2 linked regions of the Drosophila melanogaster genome follow. The protein of the gene in region 2 interacts with the protein of the main gene of each other region in a pairwise test. Each region holds a gene or a part of one and is shown on either strand. Other genes may lie near its edges. The genes, in order: eIF4E3 and eIF4G2.

Region 1 (4,100 bases), on a different chromosome or scaffold from region 2:
GTCGGAGATACGCTGCCATTGGCACTGACATAACCCCATGTGCAGTGTATCACGTTCCAGTCATTTGGTGGCTGCCACTTCATAATTCAATAAAACAATAAAAGCAAAATCCTTACAAATTACAGCAATCAAATCATACGACTTACATGGGCATCAGTGATGACAATTCAGGGTCTGAATATTTTGCACTTTCAAATATCATTTAGTATGTGAGCAGAAATATTATACATATCATAGGTGCTGAGATTTCCAGGAATACCGGCAATACTATCTGAAATATTAGTTTTTGGAATATGGAATATATATATATTTGGAATATAGAATGAAAAACCTGCTAGGAGCACTAGCAGCACTTCCCTGGAAATGGAGGATATTGCGCTTCCCGAGCATATTTCCATAAATTGGTCACAATTTGCTATGCGCAGCAGCACGGAAGACAAAAGCCCTGAAAGGACGACGCACACACATAGGAAGGAATAAGCACTTGGCGCGCGATGGCAGCCGTTAAAGGATGGGCAGAGTCACCCAAAATTATGACGCCAAGGATAATCGTAGTGAAGCGAGTATGTGTTTCCCACTCCGCCGGGGAATACGTGAGGCGACTATAGTAGCCTCGGGATACCGGCACACGAATCGTGGCCAGAAAGTAGTTACTGTTTCTACTGCTCTACGCAATACTTTATTCATGGTACAACCGATATCTATCTCGAAAAGCATTGGTGCGCGTGGGATAAAATGTGAGTTTGACAAATGTATAAGGCTTATGTACTATCGTTGGAAATGTACTATGGCGCCCTTGGAAATTGGCCTACAATGTGTAGATGGCATTGACATTGGGTCCATGGTTCACCATGGCATCCTTGTGCACCTGGTACTGGATTTCCATAATGCCCAGATGCAGCAGCTCCTTTATCTGCCTGCCAATGGACAGGATAGCCTCTACATTGCGAGAGTCCTTCGTCCAAAGGGCTGTAAAGAAAGTTGACCTTAGAGATACCCCAATGTGAAATGCTGTCTTATACCCACATAGCTTATTAGCCTTGTTGCGCACATTGATGACCACTCCACATATCTCGTCCGAGTGCTGGAAGCACTCGCCAATCATGCACAAAAGCTAAAGGAGATAATGCTTTATAATGCATTGAGCTTATAATTATGGTGCAATCATGTGGCTTACCAAATCGTGCCACATCTTATCTATATAGGTCCTGGAGGCCTTGTCCAGGAGCAGTATCCAACGACCACCGTTCTTATTGGTGTCATCCTCCCACATGGGACTAAATATTTATATACATAAGACGAGGTTCAAAGAGCAGACTTTCAGAACTCACCGAATATTTTTCTTGAAGACCATGTAGTCATTGAATATCTTCAGATCCGATGGCGGCTTCACAAAGTAGTACACACTGTCGAAATAGAATAGGATATATATATATAGGATATATATATATATATATGAATCTGTGTCTGACCTGAAGAAGTCCTCAACGGTGTTGAAGCTGGTCACATCGACGAGCATTTCGGCCCAGCGCTTGGTACGATCGTTCTCCAAGTGCCACAAAGTCCAGGTATGCTCCAATGGATGCTTCATGGCCAGGTCGTAGTCGATGTTTTTCATCACCCGGTTCAATGAGGGCTGCAACTCCTCCTCATTGCCGCTCATCAGTTCCAAACCATCATAAACTGCCAGACCATGTGACCAGTCATTGGGATCTCCATACGGCACCCATGCTAAATATATTCGATTCGCATATCGAATGATGAATCGTAAAAAAAAAGATCTGCTGTCAGCTTACCAGTTTCCTCAGCATTCTGCAATCCGTTGCTTACGTAACCGGTGTACACCATTGTTTTTTATTGATTCAATGCGATAAACGAACCTTTTTTTGTTAGTTTTCTCGTTTTATTTTACTAAAAAAAACTCCTTGAAATGGTATATGTCTCGTGCAAAGTATAAGCGTTAATGAAAATGGCTTAACATGAGTGCACACTTTGACAAATCAAGATATGACAGCTAAAGCGTTGCCACCTTGGTTATGAAAAAGTATTGGAAAAGTCATGTGACCATCTCGTTGCGTAATATGCTTATTTTCAAAAGACTCTATCCCTTTATCGCCTTTATTATTTAAAATATTTTATGGTACATCCTGCCATTATTTCATCAATAAATCTTGTATCCAAGTCTTAAGCACCCCATTCAAACACTCCGATATTGCAGCTCCCATTCGCACATTTTGGTTGCAAAATCAAATTGAGTCGGTTAAGTACGAGCCCGAGGGTCTATCAATTGAAATGTCACGCTAATAAAATAAAATGCCACCGAGCATACGATAAATGCACGAAAATAATAAAATGTGACTCAAATGAGCGACGACGACAGCAACCACAGACACAGACACGGCCACACAAAGTTGGCAGCCGGAAAGACGGATACGATTGGGAATGGAACTGGAGCGAGTAGAGGAATCCCCCTTTCTTGTCTGCTCTGGCTGCTCCTTGTGCAACAGTTTGGCCTGCAGTCAATAATCGAAATCGACTTGGGCTTGTGGCAATAAAAATTTGTCTTCGCCGCTTAAGTTGTGCGCCTTGTTGCACACACAAGGTCCTGGGTCCCTCCGTGCCGGAGTCCTTTGGCAAAGCCCCACACCTCACCCCTGCCCGAACCCATCACCACGCCCCTGGCGGCGGTGCAGATAATAAAATATGTGAGTCGCTACGTGGCAGCTCCTTTGGCGTTGGCAAAGTAGCTTTGGGCCCTTGTAATGTGCACCATTTGTTGCGCGGCTGGTGGTGCGGTGGCACCAACTTGCACTCCAACCAAGATGCTCCGCACCAGCTCCATCTCCGTTTCCATCTCCATCTGCTGGATGCACGGGTGAGTTATGCCGGCCAAGTTTGGAACAAAAGTGTTGGCACTGCTCCTTGTTCTTGGTTCTCGCAGCCAAATAAGTTGCCAGCCCCAATTTACTTAAAAATTCTATTTATTTTTGCTTTTAAGCAGCTTTGGCGGCTGCTCCAGCTCGTATTTCTGGGATTTTTTGAGGAAAAAACTGCTCCAAATTTGTTTCGTTAATTGGGAGAATAAGTTAAAACAAGGAATTGTAAAATTTTAGAAAGTGTTTTAATATCTAGACTATCTTAACTTAAAGTACATTTTATAAGCTCGTATCGCACGTTATTCCCTTCCTCTCTTCACTTAAACAATAGATAAAACTTTTTCAGCTACTGCTGGTTTTTAATATTTATATTTTTTGACATGCCTGTTTATTCCTTGAATCCCATAACTAAAAATTACCTGCTCCAAATGGAGTTGGTAGCCCATAAATTCCCGAGAGGGAAAACTTTAGTTCCAACTCTTTTTTTGGGGCTTCTCCCCCATTCGAGTTAAGTTGCCGGCAAACGCTTAGCTATGCTTTGTTAGATTTGACTTTGTGCTCCGCTCTTCTCAGGTGGCACTTTGGCGTATACGCAATATTTTACAGCTTTTTGCACTTTGCTGGCTGAGCTGAAAATACATGGTCAGTAAATCTTTTAAAATATTGTAATGTTGAGGGAGTCTATGGGGGGATGGCTCCCGCACCAGCTTAAGCGATTTGAGTGCCGAAGCAGTAAAAACGCCCACAAACTGCCGGGGAAAACGAAGGGGAAAAGCGCGTAAATGGGGCAAACTACAAGAAGAAGCCAAGGATCCAAGGACTCAAGTATCCAAGAGCTAGGACCTCATCTTGAGGCAGTTCTGTGCAGACAAGCGCATGCAAGAAATGAAAATGATTTGAGGCATTATGTTCGCTCCGGTTTTACCCCGCCATTTCTCGTTTCGCTTCCGTTCGGCTGTCTTTTCTTCTTTTTTTTTATTTGTTTTTTTTTTTTGGCTACAAAATTGCTTTGCTGCTGCTTCATGTTGATTGTAAAAGATTTCAGTGCTGAAAGCACAAAGCATGCGATGATGTACGGAACGACGCACGTCGTACATTTTGCACCTTGAAGTGGCAAGCGGAGGAGATGCTCTCCTCCACTCCCGCTTCTCCGCCCCATCCACTGCGGGCAAAGACAGCCACATAAAACAATAAAAAGCAGTGGTAAGTGTCGGGGATGGGTAG
Region 2 (5,060 bases):
TTCGGCCCAAGTTGGTAGTAAGCTAGTGTCGGCGTTTGAGCAGCTCCCGGTGCCCCGCCTGGACCTTGTTGTTGAGCAGTGGGAGGAAGCTGTTTCTGTTGTGGAGGAGGTGGCGCAGCCGCATAGAATGAAGCTCCAGCCGCTCCGTTAGTGGGAAAGGTCACAGCTGGCTGCATGCCCATCAGAGGTCCGGTCTGATTAATTGGTATATAGGTGGCGGAAATGTAGGGTCCACCCGCATTTCCGCCGGCAGGTGCGATCAGGCCAGCTGATTGTTGAAAGTGGGGTGGTAGAGTTGGGTTGCTCAGGGCACGAGGCATGTTTGACCCCGGCGCCACGCCATTTGCTCCACCATGGTGACCACCAGTAAGAGGATGTCCCAACGTGTTGGAACTGGCGGCGGCGCTCAGTTGGAGGGTAGCGCCGCCGCCGTTGGCACTGTTGTTAACCGCCGCGGAATGCGCGGCGTAGGACGGCTGGGTATTGTAGAAGATGACCGGCTGGTGGTGCGCCTGGGCCTGGGCTTGCACCTGCTGCTGTTGTTGCTGTTGGATGTGTTGCTGAAGATGAGCGGCGGCGACGGCTGCTTGTTGTTGGTGTTGCTGCTGCTGCTGTTGCAGTAAGTGCTGCTGCTGGTGGTGGTGCAGGCCGCTGTGGTTCGGGACGAACACTGCGTGGGACTGCTGCTGCTCCTGCTGTTGCTGGAGGTGATGGTGGTGCGAGTGCGTCGCCTGGTGATGCTGGGCTTGATGGTTGTGGTTCTGCTGATGTGTCGACTGTGGCCTGGTTCCCTTCCCACCCCCTCCCTGTTGAGGGAACATAGGAGGACCTTCGAAGGATCTGCACACGCATACAATCGCACCGTCACACGCACAGGCACACACGGAGAGTTAGGAAAACCGCGGCCAGAGCAAAACAGATGTACAAATCGTAATGTTAGTAAGATGGAAATGAAAGTGAAAATGGAGTTGGCGATGTGGAAAATGCTTGGCGTATTAGGTTTTCAGTCAAAGCCGTGAGTACATGCGAATGAGAGTTAAATCAAACGTGTGCAAAAGCAACCAAAAATGATCATGCAAATTATGTGTTTACATCTTATGACTAAGGGCTATTTTACAAATGCACTCCCTCTTTTACCCTTTTCTTTATTCTTTAATATTTCAATCAATTGAGCTCTTTAATTGGAATGTGGTGTATGATGTCACTCGCGGGGCGTGTATACATCCAAAATGCTTTCGAAGATGGCTCGACACCTTATCGCGCCGGTTTTATCAATGGACTAGTCACTTGCGCAGCCTAAATACTTGTACATAGGTGACACACGGTAACAAGTGGCGCTATTAGTCAGTACTGGCCTTAAAGCGGAACAAAACAAAGGCAGCCACAAAGAAGCAGCTGCCAGCGAGCGTAGGAGGTGAGCTATGGGCTGCTGTCGTCTTTATGGCTACAACCAGTTTGGCATTCCGTCAGCACTTCCATCGGCACAGTGGAGACCGCAAGAACTAGATCACTTAAAACTGTTTACGATATGATTTCTTTTAGTTATAATACTACCAAACGGAATTTCATTGTTGTTTTGCTAAGCAAGCGTTCAATGCTGATTGATAAGAATATGAAGACAAACATTGGCCAATATTCACTGTGGTGTTCTCTTTGGAGCTCTCTGCTGGCCTAGAAAAACCAACTCCGCTGCAGTTTGCGGCCAAGCACCTTCAAGCCAGAAGAAAACCAGTTTTCCAGCAGACGAAGTACGTGCATGGCTCTTTTCACTCCATGGCGAGGAAAACGAAAACCTGGCTGGCAGATAGGCTCACTTGTTTCATGTTTGTTTGTAAACAAAACCAGTTGGAGTGTGTGGGTGCTGCTCTAAATGGGATCGCGATCGCTTATTGGGAGTGCATTCGTACTGGAGGCAGTGTGTTATAGTAGTAGTAGTGTGTTATTAAACTAATAAACAAACAATTAATGTAAATTGCGTGAAAAAGCAAGCAAATACTAGAATGGGAGTAAGTTGTAAGTCAGATTTCGAAACTTACCGCTTCCTGTGCTTCGATTGGTAGATGTGATGATTATAAGGGTATTCGATTTATCCTATTTCTTAGTTCCTAAGGTAGACCTGCCTTTAAGCCTATCCGGCTTCCCTTGACACCTGGTCAAGCTCTACGCCTCCTCCTGCTGCTGCTTATTTGCTCCTCCGTTCCTTTTTCCTATTTCTCGTGGAAACTCCTCGTCTTTGTGGTTGTTGGCTCTATCCGGAATACTACAATAGCTCAGATATTCCATGTATAAAAATACTCCAATTCACTGTGATGCACATGCACATCTGCATTTGTGCAGACGGACGAGGGGCACGTACACGTACATGCGTACAAATATACAAAATAACGTACGGCTAGTGCTAAAATTTCACGGTAATTTGTTCTGTAATTAAAGGCGTTAGAGGAAGTTAAAACGTATGCTTAAATTTTGCAATTGCGAGGAATCAAAATTACAATATGATGAATATGAACACCAAAGCAGCGCCTGCTACGAATTTATTCCCTCTCCTTGTCCAGCTGAGCAGCCTCAGCCCCGGATTGAGAATGAGAAATGGGCAGCCAAGTGCCAATTCGTAATTTGACACTAATGGCAAGGGGACTTTTTGTAGGTTTTTAACCTTTTTCAGATTTTCAGGTAATACTTTTCCCCGAAAAGGCGAGGCGTTGGTTTATGTTTTTTTACCGTTTTGACTTTTTGCCGTTCGCTCTTTTTTTGCGCTCTCTCTGTCTCTGTCTGGCCGCCAGTACTTACCGTTCTGCTCCTGCTCGCTAGCACGCTCTCTCGCTCGCACTCCACACACAAAACTGAGGAAGGAAACAAAAAAAAATGCAGTTCCACGCGGGGAACACGCCAAAAAGTTGCTCTGGCACTGCGCCTTTACATTAGTGCATCGTCTGCTTCACCTCGTTATGTATACACGGCTCACTATCTGTTACAAACAATTTTGTAATGTAAATAGTCTGCAGAAACACGTCCGTTTCGTTTGATGAAATAAGAGTGACCGTTGCACGTAGGGATGGAACATAACTCGATGGCGGCAGCATCGATGTCTACGCAGCGAATATCGATTGTGAAAGTTCCAGAAATATCCCGCAGGAATATTATACATTTTAGTGCGTCCTCAAACCGGGGTGGAGAACTTGGATTCAAGCTTGGCGCGTAATATTTTGAACGTTCTTCATCATAAGAATAATCATTCTTTCGAAATAGAAAAATAGGCCTTATGCAGGTGTTATAATAACAATTATTATATAATGCGCATTGTGGTGCATGACGCAGAATATCATATAAATTCCACACATATTTCGCTGTTATTATTGTTTATTCTAACTTTACATTTTAATTTGAATGATATATTCATAATTTACGCATTCGTAGGACAGCATATGCGCAGAATCCTGTTTCCATTCCATTCGCAACTTCCGGATTGCCTCCCCTTAATGCTCTTAGACTACCCCTCGTGCAGAAATTGCAGTGTTTACGCGCTTGTAGTAAAAGTTTTGCTCTTTCTGTTTTGCCGGATGCGCAACGCCCTCCACTTCCCACATAATCCTTTACTCTGCGCCCTCACCTCCCTCTAGTATCCGTTTTTCCAATGCTATACCCTTCTCTACTTATTACTCCTTATCTCAGTATACACTATGGCCAAAACTTTAAAGTAAAACGAGTGCAAGAATGAACTCGGAGCCTTATTGCAGCCTAAAAAAATTATATACACATAGAGCCCACAAACAGAGTCTGAAGGGATTATTTGGTGGTTGAAAATGCAAAAAGACTAGACCGCAAATGCAAATATTTTAACTTGGCACAACGAAACCGCATACGGACTGTCCGTATTTTGCATTTTTTTTTTTCCATTTCAGTTGTGAAGTCATTTGCAATGCTTGTTTTCCTGTGCGTACTGTCATGTTTTTGTGGCCTTTGCGGTTGCACTAAAGATAGTGTGAGGACAACAGATGAGTAAATGGACGAGGCTCTTACTTTTTTTCAATAATTTTGCTCTCAGCACAAACATTTTGAATATAACGGTCGCTGAGTGCGCTACCTGAGCGGCAGGTTTTGACAATACAATTCGAAAATGAAATTGCAACACTTTCCGAAATTTGGATCAAAAAGATACGATTTTTAAAGTTTTATTTAAATTTTATACATTTTTCAAAGATAATATCGTCTTACATCTTATTAATTTATTTAAAAGTATACTTATTAATTGAATCCCCCTTAAAAAAAAAGCCTCTGCTTTTTGGTATATTTTGAACCCATAATGATTTAATTTGGTATTTCTTTCAGCACCGCATGGTATCTTTCGGGGACGCGAGTGCAGCCACACCAAAAGCGAATTCCTTTACTCCCGCTGCGGTCACACTAAGTCCGAAGCTTGATTCGCCCTGACGCGCGTAACGCTTTTTTCCCGCATCACTTTCCTCCACTTTGGCGCTGAAAAATTCTGCACAACAAGAAGAGAATGCACCAAACTGAAATTGCAACCGACTGCGACTACTGCACCTGAGCCGGTTACGAAATCAACTCTTATATTACTCATATAATTTTGGCATCCATGTAGAAACGAATAAAAATAGTGCGCGAACTGAAAACCCGTTAAAACGAGAATGGGCATAGCCCAAAATAAAACTTTTTCGTTTCTTTTTTACCGTTTATTTAACACAATCAATTAAAATAAAACCAAACACAAGATTTACTCAAAGTAAATCGCGTATAAGCTCGACTACCATAAATGTTAATGTGAAAATTGTGCAATAATTAGAGAAATTTCTAAAAGAAATTCATAAGTGCGGTATTCGTAAATTGCATTGTTTGCAAATGCAAAAAGCAAATGTTATGCAACTATAAGTTACAAGTTAAAACATACAAAAAGTAAACAGAAAATTAATAACCAACCGACAGTACATACAGATAAATGTATATATATAGCGAAGCAATGTGTGTATATAGAGCACTTTGAGACCTCGAAACAAGGACTTCGCCAAGGACTACGGATTACTACACTTTGCCGCCAAGCT

The links.
Region 1: the proteins of eIF4G2 (region 2) and eIF4E3 interact in a two-hybrid assay, tested with the Drosophila melanogaster proteins (one study listed by BioGRID).

Annotation. Positions count from the first base shown.
Region 1 is NT_037436.4:8,227,130-8,231,229, reverse strand, and holds eIF4E3 (eukaryotic translation initiation factor 4E3), read right to left. Parts: upstream 2,007-4,100; 5' UTR 1,849-2,006; coding exon 1,797-1,848; intron 1,732-1,796; coding exon 1,473-1,731; intron 1,407-1,472; coding exon 1,332-1,406; intron 1,278-1,331; coding exon 1,178-1,277; intron 1,115-1,177; coding exon 1,027-1,114; intron 970-1,026; coding exon 809-969; 3' UTR 662-808; downstream 1-661.
Region 2 is NT_033777.3:23,816,191-23,821,250, forward strand, and holds the start of eIF4G2 (eukaryotic translation initiation factor 4G2), read right to left. Parts: upstream 3,048-5,060; 5' UTR 2,791-3,047; intron 2,630-2,790; exon of another isoform or gene 2,422-2,629; 5' UTR 2,037-2,421; intron 841-2,036; 5' UTR 822-840; coding exon 1-821.